Linked DNA regions of Drosophila melanogaster. The protein of the gene in region 1 interacts with the protein of each later gene in a pairwise test. Each region holds a gene or a part of one and is shown on either strand. Other genes may lie near its edges.

Evidence for each region. The genes of interacting proteins can lie anywhere in the genome.
Region 2: the proteins of CG3726 (region 1) and CG12645 interact in a two-hybrid assay, tested with the Drosophila melanogaster proteins (one large-scale study listed by BioGRID).

The regions. Positions count from the first base shown.
Region 1 is NC_004354.4:5,914,928-5,920,602, reverse strand, and holds the start of CG3726 (uncharacterized protein), read right to left. Parts: upstream 3,507-5,675; 5' UTR 2,976-3,506; intron 1-2,975. Other genes in the region: Shmt (serine hydroxymethyl transferase), read left to right, coding at 4,134-4,340.
Region 2 is NC_004354.4:10,151,430-10,156,127, reverse strand, and holds CG12645 (uncharacterized protein), read right to left. Parts: upstream 2,517-4,698; coding exon 2,183-2,516; intron 2,126-2,182; coding exon 1,978-2,125; intron 1,799-1,977; exon of another isoform or gene 1,744-1,798; coding exon 1,605-1,743; 3' UTR 1,119-1,604; downstream 1-1,118.

The DNA.
Region 1 (5,675 bases):
TTGTTTGTTTTTATCTTTCCTATTTGAAAATGTTTTTTTCGTTTTTTTTTCTCTGGCGGTTAATTGCATAAAAATAGAGGCCGTATTTGTGTTGCCTTTTTTTGTGATTTTCGATCGCGACATAATTTGATTTGAAAACCTTGGACAAACAGAGAAACAAAAAGCGAATGAAAGAAACTGGGAGCCAAAGAATTCTCGACTTTCGAAGGGCGATTATTTTTCTCAAATTTTCTCTATTATTTCCCATTGTTTCGCTTGGCTTTATGCGACGCAAATAGTTTTTATCTCTTCGCATTGCATTGATTTCAACCTTTTTTTTAAATTATTATTACTACACTCTTTTTCCCTTTGGAGCCCCAGTATTTTCAGCACTTCTCAAAGTTATCAGCGAAATTTGCCTAGCGTTAGTTTTGTTTTTTTATTTTTAGTGTCTCGCCCCGCAAATTCATATAAATATAAATATTTATACACATATGTGTGTATATTTATGGCTTCTTTTCTTTTTATTTTTTGTTATATTTTTCCGATTTGCCGTCTGCAGTGCAGTTTTTTATTGTTTGTTTTTAATTATAAATATGAGCTGATATCAGAGAATGAGGGAAAAAAAAAGTGGGGAGCTCAATGAAAAAGAAATGGTTGCAAAATCAAACCCTTTTTCGGCGAAATTGAAATTGAAAACGCTGTGAATAGATTTAAGGAACTTTGTCGGCATTTGACAAACATTATTTACGCATTGCAAATTATAGTTATCATTTTTCATATATAGTGCGCAAAACATAAACAACCCCAAAATTTACGTAAGCGAATTTTATTTGCCAACTACCAAAATGAAAATAAATAAACACATAGAGTAAACTAAACTTAAAGCTGGTATGACAAAAAATGACAACAACAAAATAATCACACACGAAAAACAATATTTCGTGTCAAAATTTGTGTCGTTTTTTGCTTTATTTCCTACTGCCGCATTGTTTTTCTAAAGAATTTTTATTTGGTTGCGGAATAACACGAAAATAAGTGTGATTTTGTTATAAATACTTCACGGCTTTATTTCGACTCGACTGTGGGAATACCCAAAAGTTTTTTACATGATATATCATATATTACGAATAATTTATGATAATGAAATCTAGATGCAAAGCTTTCAAATCTCGAAGCCCAGGTAAATATGCATTTATTCGAAATCGATTTGAAAATGTTTTATATTTCGAATTTGGTTTTGTTGGAATATCAATCGTTGTAGTTTTAGACTAATTTTAGGCTTTATTTAAGCGTTTCTCCCACATTTATAAATTAATTAATTATGTCCATAGGTATGTATATGAACATATATGCATATATGTATGTATATATTCCAAATTTGGGGGCGTGGCACGTCGGATGCTGACCTGCCCTTGTTTTTTTGCCTTTGGCTTGCTTGTTTGTTATCGCTTTTGTTCTGATTTGTTTTTGGACAATGAACTTGAAATTTGGAGCACGCGTTTCACATGTAATTGAAATGTGTGTGAGTGGGGCGAAGGCGGGTGGTGGGGGGTCGATGAAGATGGGGAGCAGAGAGCAGCGAACGAGAGAGAGAGCACTCACGCACACCAACACTAGCGCACAGAAGCCAGGGCCGGATCAGGGGGTAAATATTCGAGTTAAGTGCCATTAAATATCTTAAATGTTTTACGTAATTTTGTTGCTCAATAACCTATATATTTTGTTAACTTCATGTTCTTCTTGCAAATCGGTAGCTTGGTTCAAAAATTTCCAGATTCGCTCCTGATACGCTCTCTTCCTCTCTCTCTCTCTCGCTCTCTGCCCCCCCTCCACACAATCTTCCACACACTGATTCGCTGTTTTATTTTTTTTTGCGCAGGCGAATGCCGCTGTGAAAACAAAAAACCGAATAAAACAGCCGACAAAAACAAAAGGAAGGAGAAACGTTGACGGCGACGTCACTCAAATGCGATTTGCAATTTTAATTTTTGCCGTTCATGTTTTGCAGTTTTTGTTCATATAATTAAAGTTGTAAAAATGAATTGCCATACAGCAAAAAAACGAGAGAAAAGTAAATTGCAAATTGTAAATTGCTTTTGCCATAAAGGCGGAAATGCCTCTCTCAACAACAAAAAAACTCGCATTCAAATAGTGCAACAAAAAACTAAAAACAAATAAGCCGAAATCGACAACAAAAAATAAGGCTAAACAGGTGAAGAAGAAAACTAAAAGCCACAGAAATAACAAAAACCGATAAACCAAAATTTAAAACCAGCACAAAAAATAGCCCCAAAACTTAAGATATACAATTGTGTTCGAAATCGTAGTAAAGCTATTTGAAGCGCCACAAAAATTTACATTTTTTGTAAACATTTTTAAGCATCGACTATTATTTTGGGTACAACTGTAGCAGATAAACAACAGCCCGCAAAAAACCCTAATTATCAAGCTTAGACAAAAACTACAAAAAAAGCGAAAAAATCACACAAAAAATGTAAATTACTGGCCTATGAATTTAATTAATTTTTTGCAACTCTGTAGGTTTTTTCCCCTCTTTTTTCATTTTTATCTTGGCGATTAGTTGGCAGCAACAATTACAATAAGCGAAGAAAAAGCGCCAATCGTTTCCTGAGCGAAAAACAATTGTTTACAATAATTGCATGCGATTATTATTTATGTCAATTTCGAATATTCAGCTGGCAAAGTCAACAAACCCGGAAACCTTCGGCGAGAACAACGGAATTTTTATCGTAATATTTTGTTCGCCTTTTTGCATTCAACAAAAAAGAGCACGCACAAAACAAAACATGCAAAAAAAAAAAGAAGCACAAAATATATGATTGAAAAACAAAAACGATAAAAAACAAGGGGAGAGCGGCGAACAAAAACAGAAAATCGCACAAATAACACACAACTTTTGTTTGGCTAAAAATAAAACGACGTTCGTTTTGCGTGTCTTTTTAGCACATGAAATAAATAATTTGTTTTCTCACCTTTTCTTTATGACTTTTCGCGCTATCTTTTCTTTTGGCGTTTTTTTCCCCCCTCGAATTTCTTTTACTTTTCCTTTATGCTTTTTGTTTTGTTATTCGAATCGAATTGCACACGCAGCAGAATTGTGTCGAAAAAAATTCATTCATTCATTTAATTTCTGGCTTGCCATTTTTGTTTCATTTCTATATTTTGTTTTTTAACATAAAAAAAAATAATGCGAAACAGCGAATTCAAAACGCGCGCTTTTTCTTTTGCCTTGCGAGCGGATAACGGTAAATGCGCACAGCAATGTTTTAACATTAAACACTAACCACTAAATTGTCAGGAAATTCACCAAAAATAAATGTTCTGTTTTGGAATTGTTAAGAATGTTAGGCTCATGTGTTTGTTAATATTTTCCAGGAATTTTCTTTTAGCGGCGCAGCGAAGTGAAACGTACCGCGGAGGAGACGGATTTTTGAGTGAAAAGAATTGAACTTTCGTTGTTGCTTATATAGACTTTGGCTGGCAGCAATGTTGCTGGAGAGAGATGTTGCACTCTCCCAATCGGTTGGCAACTTAAACCGGTTCGCAGTACCAGCAATTTGGCGGGTACTTTAAATGCCTTAACGTTATCGCGCGTTTGATAACTACGTACATTTTAAGGGATTGAGAGAAACGCATATTATGATATAAAATAAAGTGTTAATATTAATTGAAGAGGCACACACGCTTAACATTTCCACAAATTGTAAATATTTATACAAGAATTGGTAGCTATCGCTAGCGTTGCCAGACGGCGCCAAAAGCTTCTAAATCCAGCGATCCAACTACCCAAACAGCTGATATCTGTTAGCCTGGTAAATGTTGTTTACCAACGTAACGCGTGTTTTCGCTTCGTTGTATTTTCGGTGTCGAATATTTTGGATGCTGGCCAAGAGATAGCGCAGCGATCGGGTCGGAACTCTTGGGCGGACTTATCACTGGGTCGGTCAGGGGTCACGGGTTATCGTTATCGCTTATCAGCCAGCGGCGGCGTCATCTCAGCGCCGGCGACTCTTCTCACTTTGCGGCAGTTCCGATTCGAACGCAGCCGTGTGAGTACTAATAATTACCAAGGATTGTTGAAAAACATCCACTAAAATCTATAAAATTCTGCTTATTACAGTTACAAAGACATGCAGCGGGCGCGCTCTACACTGACACAAAAGCTTCGGTTTTGCCTTAGTCGGGACCTGAACACCAAAGTTGGCAACCCGGTTAACTTCGAGACTGGAAAGCTTAGCGGAGCTTTAACTCGCATCGCCGCCAAAAAACAACCATCACCAACGCCATTCTTACCGGCGATCAGACGATATTCGGACTCCAAGCAGAGCACTTTGAAGGTGAGTTCGCCGGGAAAGTCCCAGGCAAAGTGAAGGGGAGGGTGGAAAAAGTGTGGCTAATTGAACCATTTGGGGGACTCGCATTTCGATTGCCTTTAATTCTTGCAGTGATCGCGGTGCTCAGAAAGTTTGTGTTTCGCTTCCATTTGCGGCTCCTGGCATGCCCGGCTAATCGCCATGTGCTTCATGCGTTTCATTCAGCCATGTGTTCCCACACTGCACTATCCCTACGTGGATGGCATGCCATCGATCCGCTGAAAGTGTTGTTTATAGTAGTATCATTGTTAAGTACCTATGTACATGTGTAGTTTAATTGAGATCTTATAGCATATGTACATATATGTACCGTATTTGTATCAGTGTACTGTTAGTGTATTCAAAACGTCGCCATGCGCCAAGTTTGAATCTTTTTGATTCACATTCGCTACCTCGGCCTGAAACTCGTTTTTGGGCCTACTCGAATTTCTCGGCTGTTTGCGCCCTATCGAGCATTGTTGTTGTCATTCTCGTTTGCACTTGTCTAAATATTTAAACTGATAACGCAAAAAAAAAAAAGAATCTGGCATTGGCCATTAAATCGAATTTCCCATTCGTGTGGGCAGATTTGTATATAAATATACATACATACATATGTATATGCATTTTGCACTCAACTTGTGGCCAGAAATTAGCATTCAATTTAGTGGGAATCACCAGTTTCCAGTTTTTGCAGCTAAAATTTTGCGTGTCCAATTCATTTCTGCGTTGAAAATAGAAGAATCTTCCAGGGATTATTAGTTAGCAGCTGGAAACGTTGAACAACAAAATGGTACTAGAGATACGTAATTTGCTGGAGGAAGCTACATACATATAAACTTGTCCATTTTCTGCCAATATTCTCCATTTCGACTATATACGTACGTTTCCCGATCTTTCCGAAGTGCGTCAGCTGCAAAGGGGGGGCAGTGTCCTTATCGTCGTCCGGCGACTTGAACTGGTGACCCAGACGGATGATAATCACTTGACGATAAGCGGATCGCAAATAGACGCGCTCTCCCATCCATGGGGGGTCGCATTTTCGATCATGGGCGTGTTATTGCACCCAAGTCACTTGGTTTCCCTGGTATTTGGCCAATCTAATCGTGGATCGGGAATAGGGAATCGGGGGAGCGCCTCTCGAGTGGTTGCCATGGTGCATCCAGGCGTAATCTTCGCCTTGGCGATAGCTGCGCCTTATCGCCGGAACTTTTCCAATGCTATTTGAACCCATTGAACCCGTATTTGTTTGTAACTTTTCGCAACCATCGGCGGCGGGAACATAAATATTATTTTTGTTTCGAAGCGTTATTAAAAACA
Region 2 (4,698 bases), 4.2 Mb from region 1:
CAACGAGGTATGGCATTCCATATTCAGACACTTATTTTTCAAGTTGTTGCAAAAAAACTGATTATTTGACGTCTGAAAGTAGCAAAAAATGGAAAAATATTACAAATTCTGCTTTTAAACACACTTTGAATGGAAATTTAAATACGAGTTAAACGAGATATGACAATCCAAATTTGAACAATTAGTTGTAAAGTTGTTGCAAAAAACGGATTATTCTATGACGAAATTTTGGAAAAAACAGATTTTGGCAATAGCAATACTCAATATTACATATTACTTAAAGAAAATCATAAATTAAAGCACAAAATCCCCTAAATAATAAAACCGTCCACCGTCCACAGCAAACGCAGCTGTAGTAGCTTTTATGTATAGGAAAATGAATTAACACAATGATACGCATTGTTTACTGCTGACATTAATGGGCAGGCGCAAAAACAGAAGACCAGCCAGAAGCAAAAGCTGATCTAATTAAAGTGGCCAACTTATTGGGACGGACTGCCGTTGGCACCTCATTTTCATTGTTATACCATTACGTATTTATTATAAGTATGATTATTATTGTTGTTTTTGATTATCATTGTTTGTTACGACAGCAACGGCGCCAGCATCAGCAGTAGCAATAATAAACTGATGCGTGGACAAAGCGGCGTATACTTGATGCGATTGAGTTTTAGCTTCCACATTATTCCACCAGCTCGGCCATAATGCTCTTTTGGTCATTATTGTTGTTGGCGGCACCGTGAACCGACTAATTGTCGAGCTCTGTCCTTTTGTTTCTCGGCCCCGCAGCTGTGGCCTAGTCAATCCATCCATCCATAGCTGGGCTTTCAGTAACGGTTTTTGGCCCATTCGTCGAAGGCCATGTTGCGCTGAAGGCTGCAACGTACGAGGCGCTAATTGAATTTGCTGCCACCGCTGGCCAATTGCAGTACCAAAAATTGAACAAAGCCGCGCAAAGCACTGAAATAGGCAGAAACCTCGAAAACAAAAAAGCGCAACTGGAGGCCAAACAACTGCGGATGGTTCAAATTCTGGGGACACTCTTCTCGATTTCGGGTATATAAGTTCTTGGCAAAAGATTGCATTTGCCCTTTTGCCCAATTACATAATAGTTTCTTAGACATATTTATAATTTTATTGTTATATTTAAGTAATTGTATCTAAATTGAATACTCTCTTCTTTTTTTTGCAGGGTATCAAATAACGAACAGCATCCACAACAACCAGCACTCGTTGGCAGGATGTGCGAAACGGAGTGATGATGAGGCAATTTGTTTAGGCCAGTTATGCATCATTTGGGCGACAGGGCAGTTCAGTACAGAGCATGGCAATGGTAATCGGTGTATGGTGTCCGATGTTGAAAGGATTGTGGATTGTGGATTGCGGATTGAGGACGAAGGACGATGGGCTTAGGTAGGCAATTCGATTTGACGGCGCACAATTTCCGGTCGCGCCCGGCACTGCGTTACTCATTACAAGCGAATAAGCGCCAAGTCCTTGCGGTCAGAAGCGCGTGCCGCCCCACTCAGCTTTATTCGCACACACGGAAAACTTTCACAATTAGCGGCCGGATTCCGGCTGCGATCCTGCAGGATATTTCCGGACTACCGCCGCCGGCAGCAGCAGCAGCAGCAGCTCCTCGGATAATGTGCGCCCAGAAAGATCTCGCAGGCGGAGCAGTAATGATTCGTTGTCCGGCAGCCATTCCATAGATACGGAAACAGGCAAGCGCAGCAGCACCAACTGAAAACAAAAACATAGATACATATATACGGATATGAGTATATCAAAGTTCGAGGTATGTAAATCGAAAGTTACTTTATCTATTTCCATTATTTCATACGATTTTTGAAAGTTTACTCATCATTTTGTTCATATTTAGTGTTAAGTACTTGAAACTTAGCACTTCTGAAGCTAACAACGTTTTGGGTTAAAAGTTAGTTAAAATTTTCAAACTAATTTAAATACCCAACTCACCCAAAAGTGCACAAGCAGAGGGCCCAAAGGTTAGTCCGAGCATTAGGTGACCTCTTCAAACGGGTGACTCCCCGTTGACCACAAGCTGGGCACACGATGTCCATCGCCTGGCTACCCAGTTTGGGTTGCGGGCTTAGGATAAAGAAATCTGGCCAATACACAATTTCAAAATATGCAATCGAATGAGTGTTCAGTTCATAGTTACCATCGCACTTACTTCTCACTGGTGGCATTGCACGATGATCGATGCTATTGTTGTCCGCTAATCCTTCCGATTGTACGCTCACCTCGTCTTTCGTTTGGGACATCGGCATCGGCATCGGCATTTCCTCCACCCTGGACCTTAGATGTTGGGGTTCTGCAAAAAGGGTTCTTCGCCGATCGTTGGAATAATCCAAATTATTCTGAATCGTAAACGTTTGCATTGCATCATAGTAGGTCGGCGGTTCCGATGGCGACAAGGACATGGGTCGCTCTATCTGCAGATCCTGGCCGGGATCCTGGTCTTGGAACAACATGCGATGCTTCTCTTCGGCCATTCCAAACCCTTCTGTTGGGCCAGTTTCGCCCTACGATGGTTTTTATTCCTTGGCAAAAAAGAAACAACCAGCCAAAAACAGTTGTCGATGATAGTGAAACATTCTGGGCCAATTAACCAGCTGCTAGCGATATCAACGAGTCACCCCAATAGAAAACTCCACAGTTGGTCAAAAAGTGCTTGAAATGGAAATGGTCTAGCTGAATCACCTTTATTTCATCGTCGTTGGAGAATATTGTCAGCTTCCGTTTCATTTCCTGTTCATAACTTTTGCAATATGTGCTGCTGACCGCTTGCACTGGCAACACAAATTTTCAAATGCTCAAAAATACACGTAAATATTTTTACAAAAATTTCTTAAAATTATTTGAAGTGTATAAATATCTCTTTAAAACGAGTTGCATAGAATGTTATGAATCAAAATCTTATAGTGTTGCTATTTCTCGCATAGAGTTTTCCACAATGTATTCCTGTTTGCGTATTCATTTTTGTTTTTCTGTTTTCCTTCAAGTTTTTTCAATATTTTCCAACGACACGATGAGGATGGAAAAATGTGAATGAAATTCTGTTTGCCACTTTGCATTTAATTAACTTTATCGCATGCATGTAAATAGTATACAGGCGCAAATAAACTAAACAGGTATACGGCAAATTATAATGAAAACTTTCATTTGCATACGGATAACTGACATATCTGGATTAGGTAAAAAAATATACCTTTAGTTTATCCAAAAAAAAAAAAGGAACGTTCTTCTTTACATTGCTTAAACTAACATTTATCGTTGTCCGTTAAATGCCTGAACTTTCCTGATATTAAATTTGCCTGTTTTTTTTTTAAGGTCTTAAATTTTATTTATGAATTCCAGGGTGTGCCAACCTTTGATTTGCTTACTCCTGCTGTTGTTGTTCCGCCATCTGCCATTCAAATGGGAATCGGGTTTTTTTGGGATCGGGGCACTGAGAGCTGTCGCTGCATAAATTTGCAGTCCATTTCAAGTTGGCTCATCGCTTTGATGTTTGATTTATTGCACGCTGTTTGTGGGCCCAATGGGGGGGGGGGGGGGTGTGATAGGGGATTGAATAGGGGTCAAGGGGTTAAGGGGGGGTGGGGTCCGAGTGCCATGCCGTGGGCTTATCGGCCGACATGCCAGACAATTGTGAATAGCAACTGCAATTGAATTTGACAGCGGCGGAGTGAATGGGGACCAACTCGCGTATCAGGTGCTGACTTGGGTACGCAAATAAATGTATGAGGCGGGCAAATAAATCTGTAAAAGGGTTCGCATTCCATTATGGATCCTGACATTTGTCTATTTATGCATTCTAAAGGTCAGCTATCAGGGTTTAAAAATGGAGCTACATAAATAAGTTAGTTGTTAAAGGTTAACAGGGGCGTATCTTTATTATTGGATTATTTATTTATTTACATTTATTCCTGGCAGTTCATTTAGTTCATTAAATTCTTACATTCAAATTAAGAGCACTCATTTGGGCCACTCCTTGCTCGATAATCCCGACGATTGGCCTTCGTTTTTTGGGGGTCTTGGGATTTGGCTCAACATTCGTTCAACTGATTAAACTGTTAGCTTATTTTCGCACAGACCGCCTATAGCTCTCTCTCTCTCTCTCTCTCTCTCTCTCGCTCTCTCTAGCAGAAGCACCTTCTCTGTCGCACTGATTGCGGCTTTGGCTGAAAATGTGTGCAAATAATATTTCGTGTAATTGCAATTAGCGCCAAAAAGGTTTTCACCGTTCACAGCTGCTGAATGGAGCAGTCGTATCTTCATCTCCATCAGCGCCCACTTTTCACCACGCTTTCACCACCGCCCATATAATCTGCCTCTTTCACTTTTTTTTTATATACAAATATACATACATATATACGTGTATATACATATATATTTATATATCTATTTGTTGTTTGCTTTTGCGAGGAAATGCGTCCGTGCGAATTGCGATTTCTTCGATGCTTCAATTACATTTGTACACCTGGGAAAAATATTCACCCGAAGATGGCAAGTTTTGTACAAGTTTTGGTTTGGCAAAACATAAGCTTGAGAAATATTACGAATTGTTTGTAGTGTAGAAATACTCCATGTACCTAGGCGCCAGGAAATCAATGTTTAAAAGGGATGCTGAACTGCCTCTTCTCACACCCTCCTGCTGGCTTGTTAATTTGCCAA